Callithrix jacchus: one gene and its partners. The protein of the gene in region 1 purifies or fractionates together with the protein of each later gene. This does not show direct contact. Links are inferred from orthologs where the notes say so. Each region holds a gene or a part of one and is shown on either strand. Other genes may lie near its edges. The genes, in order: VAPB, ACBD5, VPS13C, TTC1, RMDN3, OSBPL9 and MIGA2.

The links.
Region 2: the proteins of VAPB (region 1) and ACBD5 purify together in Homo sapiens (affinity purification with mass spectrometry; 4 studies listed by BioGRID and IntAct, counting the BioPlex papers as one, with this or other methods). This does not show direct contact. The link is inferred for Callithrix jacchus from reciprocal best matches to the Homo sapiens genes VAPB and ACBD5.
Region 3: the proteins of VAPB (region 1) and VPS13C purify together in Homo sapiens (co-immunoprecipitation; 3 studies listed by BioGRID and IntAct, counting the BioPlex papers as one, with this or other methods). This does not show direct contact. The link is inferred for Callithrix jacchus from reciprocal best matches to the Homo sapiens genes VAPB and VPS13C.
Region 4: the proteins of VAPB (region 1) and TTC1 purify together in Homo sapiens (affinity purification with mass spectrometry; 4 studies listed by BioGRID and IntAct, counting the BioPlex papers as one, with this or other methods). This does not show direct contact. The link is inferred for Callithrix jacchus from reciprocal best matches to the Homo sapiens genes VAPB and TTC1.
Region 5: the proteins of VAPB (region 1) and RMDN3 purify together in Homo sapiens (affinity purification with mass spectrometry; 4 studies listed by BioGRID and IntAct, counting the BioPlex papers as one, with this or other methods). This does not show direct contact. The link is inferred for Callithrix jacchus from reciprocal best matches to the Homo sapiens genes VAPB and RMDN3.
Region 6: the proteins of VAPB (region 1) and OSBPL9 purify together in Homo sapiens (affinity purification with mass spectrometry; 7 studies listed by BioGRID and IntAct, counting the BioPlex papers as one, with this or other methods). This does not show direct contact. The link is inferred for Callithrix jacchus from reciprocal best matches to the Homo sapiens genes VAPB and OSBPL9.
Region 7: the proteins of VAPB (region 1) and MIGA2 purify together in Homo sapiens (affinity purification with mass spectrometry; 3 studies listed by BioGRID and IntAct, counting the BioPlex papers as one, with this or other methods). This does not show direct contact. The link is inferred for Callithrix jacchus from reciprocal best matches to the Homo sapiens genes VAPB and MIGA2.

What each region holds. Positions count from the first base shown.
Region 1 is NC_133506.1:54,024,950-54,028,449, reverse strand, and holds part of VAPB (vesicle-associated membrane protein-associated protein B/C), read right to left. Parts: intron 2,460-3,500; coding exon 2,379-2,459; intron 498-2,378; coding exon 321-497; intron 1-320. UniProt on the Homo sapiens protein: Endoplasmic reticulum (ER)-anchored protein that mediates the formation of contact sites between the ER and endosomes via interaction with FFAT motif-containing proteins such as STARD3 or WDR44.
Region 2 is NC_133508.1:27,282,064-27,285,563, reverse strand, and holds part of ACBD5 (acyl-CoA-binding domain-containing protein 5), read right to left. Parts: intron 1,522-3,500; coding exon 1,401-1,521; intron 1-1,400. UniProt on the Homo sapiens protein: Acyl-CoA binding protein which acts as the peroxisome receptor for pexophagy but is dispensable for aggrephagy and nonselective autophagy. Binds medium- and long-chain acyl-CoA esters.
Region 3 is NC_133509.1:8,786,673-8,790,172, reverse strand, and holds part of VPS13C (intermembrane lipid transfer protein VPS13C), read left to right. Parts: intron 1-775; coding exon 776-868; intron 869-3,237; coding exon 3,238-3,500. UniProt on the Homo sapiens protein: Mediates the transfer of lipids between membranes at organelle contact sites. Necessary for proper mitochondrial function and maintenance of mitochondrial transmembrane potential.
Region 4 is NC_133503.1:22,816,581-22,820,544, reverse strand, and holds the start of TTC1 (tetratricopeptide repeat protein 1), read right to left. Parts: upstream 2,801-3,964; 5' UTR 2,749-2,800; exon of another isoform or gene 2,746-2,748; intron 1,360-2,745; 5' UTR 1,331-1,359; coding exon 1,001-1,330; intron 1-1,000.
Region 5 is NC_133509.1:45,816,674-45,820,751, reverse strand, and holds the start of RMDN3 (regulator of microtubule dynamics protein 3), read right to left. Parts: upstream 2,801-4,078; 5' UTR 2,745-2,800; intron 2,330-2,744; 5' UTR 2,323-2,329; coding exon 2,136-2,322; intron 1-2,135.
Region 6 is NC_133508.1:88,545,038-88,549,017, reverse strand, and holds the start of OSBPL9 (oxysterol-binding protein-related protein 9), read right to left. Parts: upstream 2,801-3,980; 5' UTR 2,776-2,800; coding exon 2,611-2,775; intron 1-2,610. UniProt on the Homo sapiens protein: Interacts with OSBPL11 to function as lipid transfer proteins.
Region 7 is NC_133502.1:177,645,688-177,648,579, reverse strand, and holds the end of MIGA2 (mitoguardin 2), read right to left. Parts: intron 2,660-2,892; coding exon 2,543-2,659; intron 2,270-2,542; coding exon 2,063-2,269; 3' UTR 501-2,062; downstream 1-500. UniProt on the Homo sapiens protein: Regulator of mitochondrial fusion: acts by forming homo- and heterodimers at the mitochondrial outer membrane and facilitating the formation of PLD6/MitoPLD dimers. May act by regulating phospholipid metabolism via PLD6/MitoPLD.

The DNA of each region.
Region 1 (3,500 bases):
CTATTTTGGTCTCAACATTTATTTTCAATTTACACTAATGGAGAGTGTGAGATTTTTGTTTTTTTTTTTTAAAGGGGACAAGGGCTTAAACAGTTGAGAACTGCTGATCAAGGGACAGTGGCTCTTAATTTAGGCAGATCCAAGGACCCTTTTGAGAATCTGATGAAAGCTATGGAAATTTCTTCCCGGGGAGAAAAAAGATAGACAAATGCCAAAAGCAAAAATAAATCTATATATTTACTGGTTCATCAACTTCCTCATCCAAGATCCTAGTGAAAACGCCCTTGTTCTCTGTAGCTTACCAGAAAATAAACTATTACCTTGAACTGCTTGTTCTCCTCCCGTAGCCTCTGAACTTCACCTTGCAGCCTCTTACATTCTTCCATAACCTTCTTAACTTCGGCGTCATCCAAAGAAGAACTCAGAGACTTAGACACTGTTGGTGTTTCTGTCTTTGATGCAGTTGTGGATATAATTTTATTTATTTCTACATCATGCTGTTAAAAAATAAATGAAAGCCTAAGTGTCACCAACCATGTAATAAAGGAGACTTTTTTATGCAAAGTAGTTCTCAGCAAACACCAAATGTAGTAGCATTTTATCCACATTGTAAAATGTCACATTTACTTTTCAAATGGATCACTTTATCTAGTATCTTAATAATCTAAAGCAACTGGGCTCTAGAAATTATGGATAAGAGAAAATAATGAAGTTCGGCTGAGACTAATACTTCAAAGAAAGAGAAAAGGGGCTGTGTATGTTGCACTATCAAATTCCTGTCATGCAAAACTTAGCATACTGTAATTGTGCAAGCTCAGGAATTATTAGCCACAAATTACTGTCACCATAAAGATGTGAACATCCCTAAGATTGCCTTGGTGGGGATAGGAGGCTTGGGAGAGCATTTACGCCGAGGGCGATTTATTTTACCAACTTAGCATTTGGAAGCTGGGATGAAGATGAAACAAGCTCAGTGTCTGCAGTGTTTCAATCTTGAGAAGCTACATACTCCCCTCATGTCCCCTGCCAAGACTGAGCTATGAGCCCCTTCTTGAGATTTACTGGGATGAGAGCCAGTCAGTAGAGGGAGGGCATGGGAACATGAAATTTGTCAGGGAAAGAGTAACTAAGGATCACTGACCTGGGTAGCAAACTGAAAACCAGGAATCTAGCTCTACCCATCATTTTCCAGATGAGAAGAGTGGGCCCTGTAAGGCAAGGTCCCAGGCTACAGAGTCAACCTATCACAGAGCTGAGGCCAGAATACAGGTTTCACAACTTCCAAACTGACCTTCCTGTGACAGGCTGTACACTGGGAAGAGGGAAAAATGACCACTTAAAGAAACAGGGTAATGATAGTGGTAAGTGACTGAGCAGAAAGAAAATACCAGGTAGTTTGACACAAATCAACAACATCCCTGCAGATCAACATGGATGATGTTAACAGAACGTTTTGGGACACTGCTATTCCCAACTCCAGCTATTAACCTCTAGGGTAGTTTCATATGCTGCATGTTTTCAGTTTTGGTGTTTTTATGACAATTAAAATGTTTCTGACTATGCTGAAGGGAAGCCCAAATGAGCATTTCAGTTACAGTCTCCTTTCTTCAACTGGTCACAAGTGAGGACCATGAAAGAGACCATGAGCAGACAGCCTAGAGGATGGGGCTCCTGCCTTCTCCCAGGTAGGCAACACAGGAGTGGGATCATTCTCAATGGGGGGTTGATATTGACCTCCAGGACACGTGTGGTAACATCTGGAGACATTTTTAGCTGTCACAACTTGGGAGTACTACCGGTACCCAAAGGGCAGAAGCCAGGGATGCTGCTATTATTAAGAGACCTTGCAGTACACAGGGCAACCTCCAACACCAAGAATTATCCACCCCAACTGTCAACAGTGCTGAGATTGATCCTCACCTAAAAACAATCTTTGACTGAAGACATAGATAGGGTAAAAGGGGTAGGGAGGCTGACAAGGCACTCTGTAGAACAAGAGAACCTGAGAGCTTCCCACCTGTCTATCAAGCACCATAATAAAGGGCAAATTATTCCCTGTTTGACTTCACCCACTGTTTAACAGCAACCTATACCTTTGCCGGGCCACAAAAGCTCTTTGGGATTTATGACATCGCAATGGACATTGGGCTGCACTTTTCAAGGGGAAACACTGCGTCAATCAGTTGTCTTTCTGCGAGTTTTTCAAAGGTTGATTTCCTAAAGGCCCACTTATTTGTTGACTTCAGCTTATTTTTTTCTTCAGACATCAGAGAAAGGAAAATAATTTGCCAACTTAAATCTTGTTTTTTGCAGGAGATGGTATGCAAATAAGTATCAGCTTGCAACATTCAATTATTGTTAACTATAAACATACTTACTGGTTTATCATTCTCTGCTGGCAATTCAAACACACATCTAAGTTTTGAATCCATAAGGTCTTCTGGTTTTGCCTCCTTCCACTAAAACAATTTAAATTTAATAATCAAGATATTATAAAGCTGCTAGAAGAATAATTTTCTTCCTATGACAATTTCAGAAAAATACTCTTAATGAGAAAACCCCAATGTATATCAAATAAAGAACTAAAGTCTGCTGAGATTTCAATATTTGTAACATGACAAGAGTAAATACACTTGCCTTCTTGAATATTTATTACACTTCACAAACCCTGAAGACTTGCTGCCTGACTCCTCAAAGTCAACCAACGCTCCCCATGTTGCTACTCTGTGGGAGAGGCCAACCACTGAACTGAAAGGAATCCTCTAAATAATGTCTGGCTGACCACAGGTAACCTTAGTTCTCCATATGAAAATACAACTTATTTTAGATTGGGCATGGTGGCTTATGCCTCTAATCCCAGCACTCTGAGAGGCTGAGGTGGGAGGACTGAGGACTGATTGAGCCCAGCAGTTTGAGACCAGTCTGGGCAACGTACGGAGATGCCGTCTCTACAAAAAAATTAAAACATTAGCTAAGCATGGTGGCACATGCCTGTGGTCCCAGCTACTCAGGAGGCTGAGGTGGGAGGATTGCTTGGGCCCAGGAGGTAGAGGCTGCAGTGAGCCAGGATCATACCACTGTACTCCAGACCAGACAACATTGAGAGACTCTGTCTCAAAAATAATAAATAAAATTTAAATGCATATCCTTCTTAGAAAGTGTAAGCACATACTATCTGAGAGTGGTTTTAGAACCACTCTGCCAACCTCCAACAAAACGCAATCATTACCAAATTCCTCCTCTGACACTGTGGCAGTGTCTGGGCTGTATCTACCCCAAGGCCCATCTCCACCTCTCCAGGCTGTAGTGAGAGCATCTTCCTAGCTAAATTCCATGTTCTAAGAGGATGTGCTCCTGATTACTTCTCCTCTTGGCAGCAGAGGATGGGAATTTCAGGGTATTCTAGGATTATAGACCAGCATAGCAGCAAGGTTATGATACAGAAAAAGAAGGCAATTCCCACCCTCCGTGCCTCCAACCCTTCCCAAAACTATGCAAGA
Region 2 (3,500 bases), on another chromosome or scaffold:
AGAAACGTTTGAACCTGGGAGGTAGAGGCTGCAGTGAGCCAAAACAGCACCACTGCACTCCAGCCTGGGCAACATAGACAAACCCCATGTCTAGAAAAAATTTTTAGAAATTAGCCAGGTGTGGTGACACATGTGTGTAGTCCCAGCTACTAGGGAGGTTGAGGTGGGAGGATTGTTTGAGCCCAGGAGGCAGAGGTTGCAGTGAGCCGTGATCGTGCCACTGCACTCCAGCCTGAGTGATGGGAGTGAGACCCTGTGTCCAAAAAACTAGTGTGGGTGTTAAAACATGCTTTACCAATTTACATATTCTGTTCATAATGTACAGTCTAAAAGACTTTTGTCAGACATTTGTTAAGGCTTCAACTGCATTAAGAATATCAACTGTTAGTCAACTGGGAAAACAGCACAGGTACAGGTATTTGTGTCTATAATTCTTTTAATTTATAGTTTATAATTCTTTTTTTTTTTAAGATGGGGTTTCACCATGATGGCCAGGCTGGTCTTGAACTCCTGACCTCAGGTGACCCACCCACCTCAGCCTCCCAAAGTGCTAGGATTACAGGCATGAGCCACCTCGCCCAGCTTATAATTCTTTTAAGTATACTTTTTAGTTTATAATTCTTTTAAGTATTCAAAAAATCAAATTTCTATTCAAGTATAGTAGGTTAGAAGTAACAGCTTACATAAAAAGTTAGCATGGCAGTACCCGAGTCATATTACTAGCTATTTACTCTTTTAAACGCTCAATACAAACAAGCAAAAGCCATTATTTTTCTTGGCAGGTAAAAGAGGCAGTGAAATTTGTTTCTTTAACTTAGGTTGGGAGTTGCTCTTGGCTTGAAAAAAAAAGGGGGGGAAACTCCATAAAAATAAAGATTGACTGAAATGTTTCTTACCTTGGATGCACCTATCCCATTTGGTTTTATTGTTTTCCTCTCCTCCCAGGATTTTCCTGTTTGTGTAAAACTGTATTAAGAACACCTGGAGAGGCTGGGCATGGCAACTCACTCCTATCTATCATCCCAGCACTTTAGGAGACTGAAGCCAGTGATCACTTGAGGCCAGGAGTTCCAGACCAGCCTAGCCAACATAGCGAAACCCTGTCTCTACTAAAAATGCAAAAATTAGCTGGGCATGGTAGCAAGCCCGTAATCCCAGCTACTCGGGAAGCTGAGGCAGGAGAATCGCTTGAAGCCAAGAGGCAGAGATTGCAGTGAGCCGAAATCCTGCCACCGCACTCCCTCCTGGGCGACAAAAAAAAAGAAAAAAACCTGGAGGATAAAAATTGTACCTAATACCTAGGACATTTTCTGCACATAATAATATATAACCACTTAAGTAGTAACCATATGTTAATTACATCATTAAAATTTAAATTCTTGCTCTACACAAAAAATTACCATTTATATCTTCCAATAGGATCCCAGAATCCAGGCCTTGAAAGTTTACAGGGTCCTTCAGTTGCCTGCTTATAGAAGCTATAAAATTTAAGCATCATTTCATTTGTTGGCTGGAATGAACCTGTTGTAAACACACAATATAAAACATTATATATAGATCATCTGGGGAATACAACAGATAATCTAAGGTTATAAATTACCTTAGCTATACTAATAGTGATTTTATATTTCATTAATACTTTAGATAATGATTGATTTCTATCTTATAGAAACAAAAATTATGGCTCTGTTAGTTGCTTGCTTCTTTGATTTCAAAACACTCTGAGATTTTAGATTTTAATAGCAATGGCTAAGATGGTTCAATAAATAAAAGAATAAATGAAGAGATATGCTGTAGATATAACCAGAATAACCAGCTAATAATGTCTCTTTAAAAATATACTAAAATATAGAATAACTATTATTATGCAACCATTGAAAAAAGAGTATTTTTATTCAAAATTTATGACAAACCAAAACTGACTAGCATAAGTGAAAAAGTTACATGTATACCCTGCCAAATTTCAAATTATCAGTATATAAGGAATTTGGGGCTAAAGCCAAATAGTATATACTATGGTAGAAAAATAATTAATCCAAGATAAAATAGATTTTTCACTCCTACCTCTGTAATTTTAGAAATATCAATTTCTTTGAGAATAATTCTTCATATATGTTTCTAGCATATCCATAACTTTTTACATGTTTAAAATTTTCAAATTGGTCAGGTGTGGTGGCTCACTCCTGTAATCGAAACACTTTGTGAGGCTGAGGTGGGCAGATCACCTGACCCCAGGAGGTCAAGGCCAGCCTGGGCAACATAGCAAAACCCTGTCTCTACAAAAAAAAAAAAAAAAAAAATTCGCTGGGTGTGATAGCACACCCTGTAGTCCTAGCTACTCAGGGGGCTAAGCGGGGAGGATCTCCTGAGCCTGGGAGGTCAAGGCTGCAGTGAGCTGTGATCACGCCACTGCACTACAGCCTAGGTGACAGAAAAAGACCCTGTCTCAAAAAAAAAAAAAAATTCAAATTGTATAAGCAAGTGCTATAAGTTGCAATATTCTCAATAATTGAAAAATTGGAATGTTAATGTTTTATAGGAAATAACTGTTTAAATAATTATGATATTAACTATAAAAGCATAATTTATAACTGTGGCCCTAAAAAGTTATATTGTAGAAAAATATAAATAATAGTATAAGTTCCATGATCTACTATACATTAAAAAAAAATAAGTTTAAAAACAACGTATATGACATATCTTTGCAAAATATTTATATACATAAAAAGTACAGTAGAAAGATAAACATCAAAATGTTTAAAGACTATCTCTGGATAGTAAGTATACAGATTATTTTCCTTTTCATCTATTTTTTAAAAGTTTTTTTTTTTTAATTTAAGTGATCTTCAGAGATACTGGAAATCAATAAAAAGGTTTTAAACATCAGTGTATATTATAACAAAATTATAAAAATAAAAATTGTAACAAGATATTTTTTAAAGTTTGCAAATTGAATAACCTAGCAGTTTATAAGATCTGTGGGATGGGAGCAGTGGCTCACACCTGTAATCTTAGCACTTTGGGAGGCCCAGGTGGGTGGATCACCTGAAGTGAAGTGATCCTCATCAGAAGTTCAAGACGAGGCTGGCCAACATGGTGAAACCCCATCTCTACTAAAATACAAAAAACTTTTCAAGACGAGGCTGGCCAACATGGTGAAACCCCATCTCTACTAAAATACAAAAAACTAGTAGGGCATGATGTCAGGTGCCTGTAATCAGCTACTCGGGAGGCTGAGAAGGGAGAACTGATTGAACCTGGGAGACAGTAGTTGCAGTGAGCCAAGATTGCTCCACTGCTGTAGCCTGGGCAGCTGAGCAAGACTCCATTTCAAAAAAAAAAAAGCTGTGGAAATTACCACACAGCTGGTGTTTCCAGTTTGGCCAAGCGTTTATGATTAATTCTCAAATCACAATAATAATTATCTGTATAATATGTGTACATTTAGGAATACCTAATAGGTACAGTATTTTAATGATACAATCCTTTATACAGCAGAG
Region 3 (3,500 bases), on another chromosome or scaffold:
CTACTGGGCTCAAATAATCCTCCTGCCTCAACCTCCTAAGTAGTTAGGACTATTACTTGGCTCATTTTTTTAAAATTAATTTTTTTGTAGAGAAGGGGTCTTGCTATATTGCCCAGGCTGGTCTTGAACTCCTGGCCTCAAGCAATTCTCCTACCTTGGCCTCCCAAAGTGCTGGGATAACAGGTGTGCACTACCATACCTGGCCTCATCCTATTTTTTAAGTAATGGCAATTATGCAATACTAATTGCTTCATTCAGTTCAGGTACAAGCTTATTCATTCATTTCTTTAATGGTATATAAGAATATAGACCTCACAATTTGAAGATTTGACTTTTATTGCAGTAAGGGCCATTTATAATGTTTCAAACTGACCTGTTAATCATCTGGAAACTGTTTATTTACCTATCTTACCATAGTCTTTAGCTCACTTTTATAGATATTTCAAAGGTATATTTCATAGAGGACATCATTTAAAAACTATTATAGCAGAAAGAAACATTTTAAATGTACTAAATGTGCATTATTACTTAAAGATTTGGTGTGATGAAATTCATCAGAACTGCTTAAAGTACTTTACCAACGTGTGCAGACTTCTCATAGTTCAGAAGCATCTTCAAAAGAGATTCTTAGCTAATTTAGTTTTGCCTTTTTGCTTTTAGAATAATAGCAGGCTGTAGTTAAACATCCCAAGTTAAGTAAGACATGGTTCTTGTAAGTGTGTGTTACGTATGTAATGGATCTATGGAAATGTGAACTTCATTTATCTGTTTATAGGTCTTGCAGCCCTGTTCTTTATTTATGGAAAAATGTATGTGGGCTTCAGGAAAACAAAATATAAATATCAAGGTTAAAGAATTTATAATTAAGGTTAGTACTTACCATATTCTTTGAGTGAAAATTCTTATTTTTCTCACAGCATTGCGTATTTTGCAGTTGAGACAGTATCTTTTGATGTCTCTCATAACTCAAGCACTGTGCTAGTCATATTCAGTAATAAGTAATTTCTAACACTAAAGTGTATTTTTCTTTAACGCAAATGTTTGCTTCTATTTTCTTTAAAAGAGTACTTTTTACTATCTACAAATGATCAGGGTAGTTTTTTCTATTATATTTACATGTATGTGTTAGGGAGGTTGAGTTGGATGAGGAAAGAGACATGGGGTGGGAGGGAAGATAAGGGAAGAAAGGATGGAGAGAAGAGGTTGTTATTACTTTATTTGTAATAAGTCATTTTTAGGCATTATTTGATATATAAGTTGATTGAATTTAATAACTATATGATCAAATTTTTTATTTGGCTTCAAATATTTATAATGACACCTGCACAGTACAAATAATTATTACAGTTTACTGCTTTTTACTCTACATTTAAAGTATTGAGAAACATTAATTGTTTTCAGTGCCATTGAAATAATTGTTTTCCAGTGGCATTTAGATTCTTTAGTCTGACCTCGTGCCCAGTCACAAATAGAAGATATAGAATACTTTCTGCAATCTGTTTCTCTGTTTACACAAAGGATACAAAAATGAGTCCTTTTTTGGTTAATTGCTTAATTTTTGCTTAATTGGTTAATGCCAGTAATGGTAGTGGCTTTACTTACATATGTCCGTGACCAACAGTGGTTGAACTAAGGCTGAAACTCATTTCATTTGAAGTACCATGTAAATATTAATTTATTTTTTTCTCAACATTTTAAAATACCGAATAGTCTTAGAATGTATATTGTTAATGGATTTACTTTAAAAAATATATAAAATAGTAAATGGGGGAAAAACTTCTTGAATTTTCTTGTATTTTCTCTTAAGACATTAGGTTAGGTGCTGTGAAGACTCTACATTCTTTGTACATAAATTTATTGACTTATTCAACAAACATTTTTGAGCTTTTACTCAAAATGTTTACTCAAATGTATAAAAAAATGTCCTTTACAAGGCATTGGGAATTCGTAGCCCCTGCTGTCAAAAAACTTACTGACATGTGGGAGAAAGAAAGAAATCAGTGATCATAGCTCTCAGTGCTAAAGGCATGGACAAGGTTCAGTTGGGAGCAAAGACATGGGGCCTTTCATTCAGACCAGAACATCAGGGAAAGCTGTGTAAAAGAAGGACTATTTGATCTGAGTTTTGAAAGTCTAATGGAGATTAAATAGATGGAGAGCATGGAAAGGTTTATCCAGACAGAATTGATAATATGCACAAAGGCAGAGGTATGAAAAAATCCTTTTAAGACTTGGGGGGGGTGGTCCCATATGGCTGGAGAGAATGGTGTGGTGGAGTTGTAAGACCGGAAGCATTAAATAAGTGACGTTAATAAGACAAGGAAAAAAGTTGACAAGTACATTAGGAAAGCAGTGCACACTAGATCCTGCTTTTGTTGATGTAATTGTATCTCTTTACATTTTAAGTAAGGATTGTAGGAGAGAGTAATAAAGGAATACAGTTAACTTATTTAACCTAGTATTTCTGGGGAATTTCTGGCTAGCTGGTTGGATAGGCACTAGGCCACAAAGAGCATTGCACATTAAGCTAAAGAGAGTTTGAATTTTATCCTGTGGGTTAAAAAAGTTATGGAAAGTTGATGAAGATTTTAAGCATAAGAATGACATGCTCAGATTTGGGTTGTAGAAGTATGCTGGTGGCGTTGTGGAGGGTTGGCGGAGAGAGTGTTGGACAGAGAAGGCATCAGCAGTGTAGACCTCAAGTTACAATAATAGAAAATGAGGGAAGTGAGCGAAGAAAGGCACTATCCAAAGACAGCAAGAGGTAGGATCTGCAGATCTTGGGGTGAGTCAAAGGACAGCTATGAGTTCCAGTCTTCCAGTTTTATTAAGGCGGACGGAAGCAAATGCATATCTTCTTTTATTTTTTTAAGATCTTGTTGTGTCACGATATTTATGTGTGTCTTGACAAGGATCACACACTTTGGTTTAGTTAATGCAGCTGATTTTAAAATGAAGAATTTGTTTACATTTCTATACTTGTCTATTCACATCACACTGTTTTGGTCTGAACTGCTCAGTTTAACTCTAGATTTTGACTACTGACAGGCGACGTTAGTTGCTTAATTCCAGTTAGTTGACTTGACACATAATTTTGTGTTCTCTCTTGTTTTCCTTGGTTATGAAATTATTTAAAATTTAAATTAGTTACTTTTTAATTTAAAAAATCATGTATGCATATATTGTCATCTGGGAAAGAATTTAGCCTAAATATTTTTCTGCTTTTTTTTTTTAAAGATTTCACCCATAATTCTTAATACTGTGATGACAATCATGGCTGCACTGTCTCCAAAAACGAAAGAAGATGAGTCCAAAGATACAGCTAAGGAAATGGAAAATCTTTGGGGTGTCAAATCGATTAATGATTATAACACTTGGTTTCTTGGTGTTGATGTGGCAACAGAAGTAACGGAAAGTTTCAGAGACATCGAACATTCATTGATAGAGGAAAATTGTGCTGTTCTTGTAGAATCAGTTCAGGTTACCTTAGAATGTGGCCT
Region 4 (3,964 bases), on another chromosome or scaffold:
TGAGTAAGCTTGTTAGTGGCAGAAACTACAATCTTGTTCAAGTTCTTTGTAGACAAACTCAAGATGTTACAGTAACTCTCCACAGATTACCTAGCTTGTGCACGCAAAAGAAAGTAGGACAGCAGACTTCAGTCTCCAAAAGTGAAGGCCTGCCCAGTTAAGGGTGTAGCCCCAGAGCAAAGAAGCAGGAGACTGTACATTTTATTAGTTTATCTGCTTTGTAGAAAGACAGATGTTTTTGTTATTACATTCTCCATTATACTCTGGCTTTGGAATCAAACAGATTTGATTTGAGAATTAGTTTTGCAATTCATTAGGTGTTTGATCTTGGGCTAGTTACTTCACCACTCTAAGCTGTTTCCTTATGGGAAATGCTAAGTGTGTATCTCATAGGCATGTTGTGGAAACCAACAAAAACACAAGTAACATTTTAAGTCAGTGGATCGCACATTGTAGGCTTTCAACAAACAACAGCTAGCTATAATCAAACACAATTATGTTCCTCAAGACCTCTGCAACCCAAACTCCACCAAGATATTCAGGCAGTCCCATTTTGCTAACAAGGGATAAGCATAAACAGAAAATGTTCATAAGCATAAATATAGCATAAATATAATGTGGTATAAACATAAAAATGTTCATTACAGAAATTTCAGCAGCCAACCACAGAAAAGGTCATAAATGAAACCTAAAAAGTATATATACATTTTGAAAATAATGAAACAAAAGGACTATTATGTTACAGACTCCTGAAGTATAAGATGAACATAGAACTCAAGGTTCACAGAAAAAAATGAAAATTTCTTTGCTAAGCAGACACACTCAGTGCTTCCCTGTCATGCTACTGATTTATCTCAGATGAATCACTACTAAAACAATAAGATGACAAAGGGCAAGTCATTCTTTACCACAACTGAGGTGGTCTATGATGCAGTACTGACCACATTATTTTAAAATGCAGTGTAAGTAGCAGATCTTCCACAATAAACAAAATACTTACCTGTTTCTCTTCATCTGACATGTTTTTTTCCAGTTCTATTAGGTATTCTTCATCTAGTTCACAGGAATTCACATCTTCATTAGATTTGTTCTCAACCTTGTCTGCTCCTGCCTCCTCCTCAAATGAGGCACTGCAGTCATGAAAACACTCCTCTTCTCCCTGGTCCTCCTGGAGATGGGCCTCATCATCCCTGAGCGGCTTACTCTGGGAATGCTGATTTTTGGGATCAGGAACTGGAGGGCCAGCACACTCAGCTTCCTGAGTATCTGTAACCTTCAAACCATTGAACAGATCCTCTGGAACCCTACAGTTCTCTGACTTCTCCCCCATGCTGCCCAGTGAGGGAGGTAACGCTAAAGCTGGGGGAAAACAAAACAAAACACCTGCTATGTAATGGTGCTCATATTTTTAAAAGTTCTGTTTCAAACCTAAACAAACCTCTGCATCACAGCCAAAAAACATCCTAACCTCATTTCACTGGAATTCATTATTTAAAAATATAGCTTATTGTAAGTAATAATAATGTCAAACGTCATTTTAACTGACACCCTTTTCCTGGTCAAATCTGGTACCAGAACTTCTTTTTTTTTTTTTTGAGACATAGTCTCACTCCCTCACCCACGCTGGAGTGTAGTGGCCTGATCTCAGCTCACTGCAACCTCTGCTGCCTCGGTTCAAGCGATTCTCCTGCCTCCCGAGTAGTTGGGATTATAGGCAACTGCCACCGTGCCTGGCTAATTTTTGTAGTTTTAGTAGAGAGAGGGTTTCACTATCTTGGCCAGGCTGGTCTTGAACTCCTGACCTCGTGATCCACCCGCCTCGGCCTCCCAAAGTGCTGGGATTACAGGCGTGAGCCACCGAGCCTGACCCTGAACTTCTTATAAGCAACAAAAGAAGCCGTTTTTAATGTGACTCTTCCATGTTCCACTGTTCGCGTTCTGTTTGGATGGCAAAAATTAGGCAGAAACTAAAACAGTGACAAGGAAAAGGAAGCAGATCTAATCTCCATTCAGAATGAATAACCAAGGCATGAGTAAGAAATTACGATCCGTCTTTTTAGCACCACCGCAGGAAGCCCAAGAATACGTTTCTAGTGGACCTCAAAATAATATCCGTGCCAAAATCGTGTTCACTTTAACCCAAATGCGTGTGGTAGAGCCCAAGCAGCTTACAGTGGAAGGAGAGCCCTGGCGCAGGTGACTCTAATCAGGGTCAGAGTCAGGCATTAAAAAGAGTGACTGTGAACCTCAGCAGCCAAAAAGATCATTAGAGATGCTTTAGAAAATACCACTGCTCAGAACCTGACCAGACTCTGATTTATTAGTGTGGCGTCAAGCAAGAGCATCAGTTTTTTTTTTTTTTTTTTAAGCATCCCAGGTGATTCTAATATGCAGCCAATTGCGAGCCACTGCTGTAGAAGCTGAGTCAGACCATCAGCAGCTAGAGATATGCAAAAATGTAAATTGCTCTAGTGGCAGCGAAACCAAGCCAACGACCCTTGTGTCACGATAGGAGTCCGAATTCGCCCTAATTTGTTCCAAGAAAACTTAAAAACCAGCAAGATGTTAATACGGAGACTTAGCCTCCACAGCAATGTCTTGTTTCTCTTTGTTCCCAGGTCTACTAGAAGAACGCAGGAGTCTGAACTCCTAGGATTAGCAAAGTGACGCCTCGCGCTTCCCAGAAGATTATTCCCTAACTTCGTTCCTAGCAGCCAAGACGCTTAGACCCACGGGGTTACTCACAACCTTTCAGCTTCTCCGGTCTCCACCTTCTTAGCCTCCGAGACCTTCTACTTCCGCTCAGTCAGGTGCACTTCCGTCTATGACGACTAATGGTGTCGCTATTGGCAAAGCATCCTGGGAAATGTAGTGGAAATTCTCAGGGAGGAAAGGCACTGTCGCTGTATGACGTCGTTATACGGAGTGACATTTGAGAGAAAGTTGCCATCTTGGGTTATGGCAAGACTACGCGTTACTCTGCACAAGAGGGAAAAAAAGGACAAAAAGAAGTCTATCCCTGTGGTGTTGGTTTCACTCTTTCTTTCTTTCTTCTTTATTTATTTATGAGACAGAGTCTCGGTCTGTCGCCCAGGCTAGAGTGCAATGGCGCAATTACAGCCTCGACTCACTGCAGCCTCAACTTCCGGAGTTCAAGAGATTTTCTTGCCTCAGCCTCCCTAGTAGCTGGGACCTCAGGTGCGCGCCACCATTTCCGGCTAATTTTTTGTATTTTTATTACAGATGGAGTTTTACTATGTTACTCAAGCTGGTCTTGAACTTCTGAACTGAAGAAATCCGTCCTCCTTGGCCTCCCAAAGTGCTGGGATTATAGGCATGAGCCACCGCGCCCGGCCCATTTTTATTTTTTAATGGCTAGCCAACTGAAGCAGTGAGAACGGAGAAGAAATAAAAAAGATCTGTAAGTGGTTGTGATCAGTTAGTTGTAAACACCACTGCACTCAGACTAACCTCAATAATTTTGAGTGTAAGGGAATGCTGAGACCGGAAGTGGTTGCCCTATATGGTCGTTCGAGAAATGTTCATTGAATATTATTAGACCCTGGGCATTGTGCTGGGATCACAGAATTGAAATATAGTACCCATCTTCAGGGTAGCCAGACAGTAACCAGCCATGACAGCAGATAATTTTCTGTAATTCACAGACCCTATTTCAGAGATAGATAGCTAGAAGAGCCTTTCAGGAAGAGTATGAAACTTATTTTTTGAATTTACATCTAAATTAGGTTATGCACACAGTTGTATTTATTGTAAGTTGAAAACTTTATGTACTAAAACATCAACAATATATCAGATTTTAGGTTTTAATATTTCTGAATTTTTAGAAATACACCCAGAATTTAAAAAGTGTAAAGGGAGGCTGAGTGTGGTGGCTCATGTCTGTAATCCTAGCACTTGGGAAGATGGAGATGGGAGGATATCTTGAGGGCAGGAGTTTGAGACT
Region 5 (4,078 bases), on another chromosome or scaffold:
ACAGCAAAACTAAAATGGAGCTCCCTCAAATTCTGATCTCTCACTTCACAAAGAATAGCAGGGAAAACCTGGAGCTTCTCCCAGAACTTAGTAACTGCCCCCCACTAAGAGAAAGGGGCCAGTTGCTAAAAGAAAAGGTATACCAGAAAAAGCCCATTCAAACCATCTCATAAAGACACCATTACTAAGCCCCATGGACCCAACCCTAAATCTCACTCTGAGTAAATTCCAGCAGTGAAATGCTACCAAAGTGAGAGCCACCTATGGTAACTGGACTGGAAAACACAAAAACAAGAAAGAAACCAGAGAGGCAGGATCCACATACATCAAGCAAAATCCCTTCTTAAAGGAAATCTGGTAAACTAGGCCAGGCCACAACACACAGCCAATAATGTTCAAGAATGCAGAGCAAGAAAGAATCCTGTGAATGTGGCCACTCTCTTCTCATCTCGGAAGACTATAGCTGGGCAATTGCAAACAAACGACAAGGAAACGGAAGGAAGCACACTTGCAATACTAGATTATCACCAGGTTAGAAAATGCTGCTAATCAATTGCAATCTAAGGTGATAGCTCGTTGAGACTCTTCCAAACTACCTTTTCCAAACAAGCTAACATTGGTAATCAGAGAAAACACTCATTTCCAATTAGCATGGGGGTGAGATAATCTAAACACTCCCCCGGCCAGGCCCGGTGGCCCACACTTGTAATCCCAGCACTTTGGGAGGCCAAGGCCAGTGCATCACTTCAGGTCAGGAGTTTGAGACCAGCCTCGCCAATATGGCGAAATCCATCTTTACTAAAAATACAAAAATCAGCTGGGCATGGTGATGCATGCCTGTGATCCCAGCTACTTGGGAGGCTGAGGCAGGAGAATCGCTTGAACCTGGGAGGTGGAGGTTGTAGTGAGCCAAGATCATGCCACTGCACTCCAGCCTGGGCAACAGAGCGAGAGACTGTCTCAAAAAACAGAAAAAGAAAAAAGAAACACTCCTCTCAAACAAAGACGGTAGTAGTGTGAACCAGCCCTAGATACTTTGCTCAAACAAGGAAAGTTCTGCAAATCTGAAAGAACTACTCATTTCAGCTCTGCAGGCTGCCAGCCACACTCAGCTTCAACTTCATGACGCGTGCTCCTAGCCCTATGCCGTACAAAGTCCACTGGACCAGGTGACCAAGCCCAACCTTTCCACTTAATCTGTGACCGCCTCAGGAAAGTTACACAATCTTTTTGAATCTCGGTTTCCTCATAGGACAGATAAAAAAAAAAAAAACTTGAATGAGATAGTTTCCAAGTTGCCTTCAAATTCTAATATACGATTTAATACATAAGCCTCAAGACTTTTAATTCCTACAAGACTCTTTTTGCCCTCTTTTGGACTCTTCCTCTACTTACTACACACCTCACACAACACTAATCAAGTGCCTTTAATATCCGCATAGCACTATTGTGGCCAGAACTAAAAGTGAAAGCTAAGCAGACTTTTTGAAATATATTTTCTTGGTAATAGAGGGGAAAAAGTACAGAAAACGACGACTGCCTTTTCTTTTTTGAGACTGAGTCCCACTCTATCGCCCAGGCCGGAGTGCAGTGGTGCAATCTGCAGGCTCAATTATCACCAGGTTAGAAAATGCTGACAATCAACTGCAATCTAAGGTGATTGCTCGTTGAGACTTCCAAACTACCGTTTCCAAACAAGAGTCCCACTCTATCGCCCAGGCCGGAGTGCAGTGGTGCAATCTGCTCATCGCAACCTCCGCCTACCGGGTTCGAGCAATTCTCGTGCCTAAGCCTCGCCAGTAGCTAGGATGACAGGCCATGCCACCACGCCCGCTCATTTTCGTATTTTTAGTAAAGACAGGATTTCACCATGTTGAAATCTGGTTGAATGTTAGCCAGGCTGGTCTCGAACTCCTGACCTCAGGTGATCCGCCCGCCTCGACCTCCCAAAGTGATGGGATTACAGCGGTGAGCCACCGCGCCCAGCCTGACGACTGATTTTTCAACAAGCTTCCAGAACAGTGAAACCCTAAGGCACCTCCCTCCGTTGCCCAGTCCCACGGCCTCCACCAAAAGCAGCCCGGACCCCAGGCCCATTAGTCTGCAGTGACTGCGGTCTCGGGATGGGCTCCTACCCTGGCGTCCGGGCTCTAAAGTGTGCGTATAGTCCAGGGAGTTGGGCAGGCTCTGGTTGCGGCCACGGCGCCGGGTCCGTTTCCATCGCTTGCTGTAAAGGACGCACAGGAATCCAAGGCCGGCGGCGGTACCCAGCAACAGTCCCAGCCCGGCACGGACACCGCCCAGGGCCCCCAGTCTAGACATGCTGTACCTGCGGCCCGCAGAAGCCACCGGGAGCAGGCAGGCAGGCAGGCGCCCAGGTGGGCGGGCAGGGGTAGGAAGAGAGAGATTCGTGAGCCTGGCAAAGCCTCCCCCAGGCCGAACCCCAGCAGACATCCCCTTGCCCAAACCCTGAGCTCCCGACTCCCTGCACCCCAGTGTGAACCCTAAAGCTTCCTCCAGCCCCCAGGGCCCCACTGCCGCTCCCCTCACCCAACCTGGACGTAACAGCCGCTTCAGCATACCCCTCGACCCGGCTCAGAGTCCGGCTCCTGGGCCTTCGACCCCCACCTCGGCCTCACGACACTGCAGACCACAAACCCGCCGCCCTAGCTGCAAACTCCTGGTATTCCCCCGCAGCCCCCGAAGGAGCTCTGGCCTGGCAAGAGATCAATTCAGACCCTTACCCGGCAGCCAGCAACCATGGCAGCAGCCGCCGCGGACTCACGCTATCCGTGACTGTGACGTCAGGCAGACGGCGCCAGCATCTAGACGCGCCGCGGGAAGGCGCAGGGAGATGACAATAACGACCCCGCCTCCTTTCCCCTAGGGGCGGGGCGATGAGTGACGCCAGAGGGGCGGAGTCAGCACAGAGCGCGAAAGGGAAGAGGAAAGGGGCAGAAGGCTTGGGAAAAGCGGGAAAGCAGGAGACTTCTTGGTTGGACGCTCACGCAGTCACCATCGGTGTCCGGCAGCCAGAGCTGCAGTTCCCTCCGGTCACACCGGCTTACTTGCTGCTCCCGGAATACGCTCAGCATATTCACACTTTCTACCTGTGCTTCTGCCTGGACCTCCCCTTCTGGAAAACGTCACCCTCTCCCCACATTTTATTTTTATTTTGTAGAGACTGGGTCCTGGTATCCCGGTCTCAAGCGATCCGCCCGCCTTGGCCTCTCAAAGTGCTTGAGCCACCGCACCCGGCCATAAATCTTAAACATAACGTGCCATCTAATAATTCCATTTTACTCTTGTATGCGACTTCTTAGAATGTTGGCAACTAAAAACGCCGATTTTATGAACTGTGATAACAATTTTATTGTGAACATTTCTTCAGTTTAGTGAAAGAAGAAATATCTAGGCCAGTCCTCCCAATACACTTGACTAGATCTTATGTTTATTTACCCTTTAATTGTGAGACACTGTATACATACAAGAATGCAGGAGGCCTGCGGTTGTGGCATGTGATTAGTCCCAGATACTCTAGGGGCTGGGGTGGGAGGATCACTTGAGCCCAGGGGGTAGAGGCTGCAGTGAACCATGAACACCCTCGGCTCTGGGCAACAGAGTGAGACCCCTGTCTCTCTCTCATTTATTTATTTATTTTTTTTGGGACGGAGTCTTGCTTTGTCACCCGGGCTGGAGTGCAGTGTGGCGCAATCTCAGCTCACTGCAACCTCCGCCGGGTCCCGGGTTCAAACGATTCTCCTGCCTTAGCCTCCAAAGTAGCTGGGACTACAGGCGCCCGCCATTATGTCCAGCTAATTTTTTAAATTTATTTTTATTTTTAGTAGAGATGAGGTTTCACCATGTTGGCCAGGCTGGTCTCGAACTCCTGACCTCGTGATTCGCCCATCTCGGCCTCCCAAAGTGCCAGGATTACAGGCGTTAGCCACTGCACCTGGTGAGACCCTGTCTCTTAATTAATTAAAAAAAAATACATTTAAAGTATACATACATTGTTAAGAAGCACTGTAAAATACTGAGGTACCCACGTCACAGTTTAAGGAATAAAACTTCACCG
Region 6 (3,980 bases), on another chromosome or scaffold:
CAGCTAAGTTTTTGTATTTTTAGTAGAGATGGAGTTTCACCATGTTGACCAGGATGGTCTCGATCTCTCGACCTCGTGATCCACCTACTTTCCCTTTTAAGTAAATACCTATCTTTTTCCCACCTTTACTGAACCTTCTCTAATTTGAGACTGGGTATCATTTTACTTTCACAAGATGGTATAACAATTGTCTGCTGTTTCTCTGTAAGCAAATACTTTAATACCAAAGAACTAGAAGAGAAAAAAAATCTTCTGAATAGCCATTAGTGAGAAATATGGCACTTCCTTCTGCTGGCAAGGATAATGTTTTATGGAATCTGGTCACAGAAAGGATAAATACTGAAGGAAAAAAATAATTTTTTTTTAAACCTGTATTTAGCTATTAAGACAGGGAGATATTTGTCCAAGTACTCAAAAACTAAAAGGGCAACAAAGCAGAAAAAGGATACATGAAAGGAAGAAAAAGAGTAGAAAGGAAGATTCTTTCTGGGCTAGGCATTCCCAAGAACCTCACCTTGGGGCCTCTCCAGTAAGGTCCTAGATTCAGATCCACACAAATCTGGGATGTGAAGAGTAACTTAATTGCATAGTGCCACTAATTGAAATCACTCTAACTTGAATAAGGTCCGTAGGATTTTCTGATTATCACATCTACTGAAACCCAGTTTGCTTTTACTTTATCTAGGCCATGGCTTTATAATTCCAGAGTTTTCAGGATATAATATTCAGTTGCCTCTCTTTCACGCCTACCTAAAGACAATCTTGAAGAATGTGTTTAAGATTTATTACGGTTTAGTCTTTTTCCCTTTAAAAACTATGTAGAGAAAGAAAGCTGACAGCTGAAGGATGATGCAAGTAATACTTTTACTTTTGCAAGCTTGCCTTTAGTAACTCACAACTTACACTTCTCCTTCCTGTAGTGAAAGTGAAGTTTAGTAGAAAAAGTCAATAATCTGGCATCTCAATTCCACCTCTTAGTGCTATGTGATGTTGAGTAAATTGTTTTAAAAGCCTGGAGCCTCAGATTTCAAAACTGTAACTGGGGATATTAAATGGAGATAATGAACTACCACCTTGCAGAATTATTAGGAATAAAATGAATTAAAGGACTCACTAAGCTAGTATATAAGCTCCAGAAGAGGAACAGTGAGTGTCTTTATTACTGTTCATTCTTGCTGGCATGAAAACGCACATACCAACTCAATTATATATATATATTTTTTACTTTGGTCTCTTTTCTTCTGCAAACCAGCTCAATAATATTTTTTAAATGAACAAATAAATTAAGTGTACCCTTTCTCTCATGAACATTAATCCTTCTTCCATAATCATATGTTTTTCTTTCTGTCTTCTATTTGTTCTAAAGCTTTCTGGGCACTATATTTTGTCCTTTTAAATGTTTTCTTCCCTCATCTCGGCTATTGTTAACTATACACCATTAAGAGAAAGTAACTTTCTAAGTAATTTATCTCCCTAATACACTCACCCTCCATATCGAATGCGATGAAGGCGGAAGGGATAGTCAAAACTTAAGATTCGAGGCCAGGCGCGGTAGCTCAGGCCTGTAATTCCAGCATTTTGGGAGGCCAAGGCGGGAGGATCACCTGAGGTAAGGAGTTCAAGACCAGCCTGGCCAACATGGTGAAACCCCGTCTCTACTAAAAGTACAAAAATTAGCTGGGTGTAGAGTGCACACCTGTGATCCCAGCTACTCGGGAGGCTGAGGTAGGAGAATCGCTTGAATCTGGGAGGGGCAATTTGTAGTGAGCCGAGAACGCGCCATTGCACTACAGCCTGGGCGACAGAGCAAGACACACACCGTCTCCAAAAAAAAAAAAAAAAAAAAAAGATTCATAACAATTTATCTACTTGTCCACGGCCACCAACTTATGTTAACAGTGAGGCCCTGAGCCCAGCCCTCCGCAGAATATAATTACAAGGGGAAACTGCACTGTCCCTTCTCTCTCTGCGCTGACAAGAGACTCTAGTGTAGGAAATCCTCGGTTCTCAAAAGTTAAAGCGTCGTTTGAGCTCTCCTCCCGCTGAATAGAGGCGTGCGTCCCTTGAATGAGACACACAACCTGAACAGACCGGAGGAATTTCGGACCCCCTGGTGTTGCCCGAGGGCCGATCACCTTTGGACCTGTACCGGCTCCTCCGGCCACTCCTCCGAGGAAGCAGAGCTCTTCAATCCCAGGAGGGAAGCTAAGGGGTGCGGCCGACTACAGGGCCTTGGTGGGACAGTATAAAGTCCATGACAACATATGAAGACGGCATGAACCACACGACTGGACCTTTTAAACCATGGCTACGACCACCCTTACCCACTCACAACCGTGCCGGACCCCACCATCGCTTAAAGAAGACCCTAAAAAAGAAACTTGGCTCACTCCCAACCCATAAATCAGACAGCTAGTTTCTATTTATTGGCTGCGCCCCTATCTCCCTCACCCTCATTGGCTATCTGAGAGGTAAAACCCTCCCCCATAAGGGAACCCTCTCGTACGGCGGCACCCCCAGACTAGCAACCTCAACTCAGCCACCTAAAACCCCGGTCCCCCAGGAAACGTGGCCCCAAAGCGCCCGAAGCTGAGCCCTCCAAGGACTCACCGTGTAATAGGAGAGCAGTCCTGCATTGTAGTCCAGCACGAACCAACGGTACTGCCAGCCCTTCATCACATTAGTCCATTTGCTCAGCGGACCTTCCATGATGGACGCCATCTTAGGAGCCGCCAATGACAACAAACGGCCTGACGTCACTCGTCTATATAGCATTCAGCAGAGGGGGGCGGGGCCTCCCGGGGCGGAGCGGGTCCTGGGCGGGTCCTGGGCGGAACCAGCGGAAGCTCCTCTGAGCAGACTAGCCGACCCACGCCCCCAGCGATCAAGTCAAACACGCTTTCTTTGGGCGCCTATTGTGTGCTGGACTCCCTGCCAGGGATGCGAGAATCCAAACGTGAATACTGCTGTTAAAATTATTTATAATCTGTCATGGTATTAGAGTAAAAAAAAAAATTATTCATGAAGAACATATTAATAAATAATTTTACTTGCCGTGATGATACATTCCACTTTCAAAAGATTTCGTATCTGATATTCATTCATGAATTCATTCCACAAATCCATTCATTTAATAAATAGTCGCTGTTTTGTGCTAGATATTCTTCTAGTCATTGGGGATACAGCAGAGCCTTCGTGACAGGTGAGGAGAATGGTAAAATAAATAGCAAATTATATCGTACATTAAAAATTCATAAATGCTATGGAGAAAAACATAAGCAAGAGGGAGCCTTGGGCCTGCTATTTTAAATTCCCAAACGGAAAGCCTGAACGAGAAGGTAACTTTTAAGCAAAGAACTGAAGAAAGTGAAGGAGGGAGCCTGGTGGAAGAGCCTTCCAAGACGAAGGAATAGCAAATGCAAAGACCAGATGTTAGGAGTCAGTGTGTCATCTTGAGGCATCAGCAAGGAGGTCAGTGTAGGTGGAGCAGTGAACCAGGGAGGAAGAGGTGAGAGACAAGGTCAGAGAAGTAGGGTTAGATCACTAACAGCCTACAAGGGCAATTTAAGTATTTATTGGCCAGTCGTAGCTTGCACCTGTAATCTCAGCACTTTGGGTGGCCAAGGCAGGCGGATCACTTGAAGTCAGGAGTTCGAGACCAGCCTGGCCAACATGGTGAAACCCCATCTCTACTAAAAATACAAAAATTATCCGGGTGTGGTGGTACATCCTATAGTCCTAGCTGAGGCACAAGAATCGCTTGAACCCAGGAAGCAGAGGTTGCAGTGAGTCGAGATTGCACCACTGCACTCCAGCCTGGGTGACAGAGTCAAATTCCATCTCAAAAAAAAAAAAAAATGAGTTATTGACCACCTACAATATCTATGCACTGTTGGAGGTCCTGGTAATACAGCAGTGAATAAGCTCAGAGCTTAAATTCTGTGATGAAAGCAATCACTAAACAAGTAAATAAGAAAAAT
Region 7 (2,892 bases), on another chromosome or scaffold:
GTGGCCCAAGAGGACCTTCAAGACTGGCAATGAGCTGTGGCTGCTGGCCAGGGTGCCTCTGTTCTCCACGTGGCTTCCCCAGCAAAGGAGCCCAGGTGTCTTGTATGGCAGCAGCTACTTTCCAAGAAGCCACGTCCCAACACAGCAGAGCTCAGGCCTCTGCTAGCCAAAGCAGGTCACACAGCCAAGCCTGGCTCTGCTGTGGGAGAGGACTGGATAGGATGTGAGTCCTGAGAGGTGCAATTCTGGGAGCCTTGATTGTGACAGTCCGCCAAACAGTCCAGGCTTCCCCTTGGGGTCTTCCCAGCTCTGATCTCTGGGATTCTGAGCCTCCTGGGACATCTTGTTCTGCTCTGAGATGGGAAGTGCTCCAAGACTGATGTGGGGGGTAGGGACCAAAAGGACCCAGGAGCCAGCTTGGAGGGGCTCCCACTGGCTCTGGGCCTGCTGTGCCCCAAGAAGCACACAGCCACGCACATAACCAACATGGCAAGGTGGAAGGAGGTCGTCTCAAGTGTTTATTTGACTCACAGTCAGTGCACACACTCTACCATCCGAAGTCAGAAGCTGCGACAGTCAACTGCTACAGGCAGTGCACAGATGTGTAAACAAAGACAAATGAAAATGTCGTATCTGTTCACTGGGGAGCAAATGACGGGGCGGGGCCAAGGCCACCATTACATTCACAGCACAGGGCAAGTGCAGATGAACAGGATGTCAGGATTCAGGGTGGACGGGGGGCACAGGGTCCTTCCTGTCCAGGCAGGTTAGTGCCCAAGGATCCCGAGTCTGGGAAAGGGCTCACAGATGACGGGCCGCCCCAGCACTGTCTCCCCTCCCCTCCATGCTGCACCCTCCCACCCCCGGACCCCTTTCCCATTCGGAGGAGCAGGGCCCCGGTCGCAGGAGCCAGTCCTCTGACGCCTGAGTTTGGAAACCCAGGAGGGGAGTCTGTTTCTCCTGCAGGCCTCAACAGAATGCATTAGGGTCACAGACACCTGCTCAGGTGAAGATACTGAGAAGTGAGCCTGCCGCACTGACAGGATCCCGCGGCGTGAGGTCCTGCTAATAAAACTCTGTCTGCAGGCCCAGGGGAGGCTCTCTGCCCCCATGAGGACCTAGGAGCATTTGTGCGTTGAACTGAAGGCAAAGTGCTGAGCAGTTTCTTGTACTAATGAGGGTGGGGAAGCTGGTCCAGCCACAAACATCCTCTGACCTCCCCCAACGTGGTCCCTGGGCCCACAGGTGACAGGCCTGAGCAAATCCTGGTCAGAGTCCCCAGCTCAGAGCCTAGCACCACCCAGGGAGGTCCAGGCTCACAGAAGGGGGATGGGCAGAGGCAGGAGGACCCACCCCACCTCTGCCCGTCTTTGGTGGTGGCAAAGGTGGGAGAAGAAATGACGATCTTTGGCAGGGCAAGGGAATGTCAAAGGACAATGTCCTGGTTTGGTGCTTGGGTTTGTCCCCTCCCAGAGAGCACAGGATGGGGAGGCCCCCACACCTCTGTTCCACCTCTGGATGGCCTGAGCCTGCTGCCGACCAAGGTGGCCCTACTCTCCTCCTCTGGAGTTGCAAAGTCTCTGAGAATGTGGCCAAGATGGGGAGGCCATCAGGACAGGCCAGCCGGATGCCTGGATGCTGAGACCATGGAGCCACAGGTGGCTTCTAGCTCTGGACACTGTGACCTTCACTACAGGGCACAGAGACCCCTCCTTCACCTCTACCATCCCAGCCCCCTTGTCAGCAGCCCTGGGGTGATGAGAGCTTTTGTGGTACCTCACCTGGGGCATCCTGGCTCTGCTTATCCCAATTCTCCACAACGCCCCCCTCTCTCACTGCCTCTCTCTCCCACAGGCCCCACTGGCCACTGTCCTGGCCTCTGCTTCCCCCAGGGACTGTTCCATCCCTCTCCATGGAAATTTCCCCTCTGGGCTTTGGGGGCTCCCACATGATGGGGATGGCAAGGTCAGGGGCAACCGCCTTCAGCCACCACGGCCATCAGCCACCAACCCAGGGAAGGGAGGAAGAGCCTTTTCTCTGCTGCTTCCAGCCCACACAGCCTCTACTGCAGCTCCCCCAGGGACCCATTCTCTCGGGGCAGCGCTCCATTCAGGCCTGTGCTGCTGGTGGGGGGTACCCCAAGGTAGCCCAGCAGGATCTCGCTGCGGCGCCGGGACAGCTGCAGGATGTCGTCTGCCAGCGCGGGCACCGACGTGTAGCGCACATTGTCCAGGTCAAACATGTCCCTCAGGTACTGCACGATCTGGTGCTGCGGGAACAGGGCTAGCGTCAGGCCTGGCCCGGGCTGCTGCCCACCATGATGCCCTCCAGGTCACCCCACCCCCCTTCTCCACCACCAGAGCCCCAGCCAGTCCTCTCCACCCCCAGGCTCCTCCCTCCCGCTGCTTCCTCTGGACCCACGTGGGTCCAGCTCCGCCCTCCTTCTGGGAGCAGGCCCAGGCCCTCACCCCATTCCTGGCACCTCCCAGGGTGCCTGTGCCCAGGGCAGTGGTCAGAAAAGAACAAAAACTGCTCCGTTTACCTTGAAGAAAGCACAGACTTCAGCGAGCTGAGGCTTGGGTCCAAGGAAGCCAAAGGCTAGGACAGGGCTCACATGCTCCGATACGGAGTAGAAGTGGGAGATGAAGCCATCGGGCACCTGCAGTGGCAACAAGGCTGAGGGGCCAGGCTGGGCCCAGGTAGGATGAGGGCACCAGGCCCAGGTGTGGCATAAAGGGCCACGCTTTGGAGGTCAACTCAGCTCATGCACGTTCCTGCTGGATGGCCCTGGGCAGTGACTTGAGCTTTCAAAGCCCATTTTAACTTATGCAGATGGTAACCATGGGCCACTGTGGGAACTGCACGAGGCCGGGGTGTGGTGGCTCAGGAAGT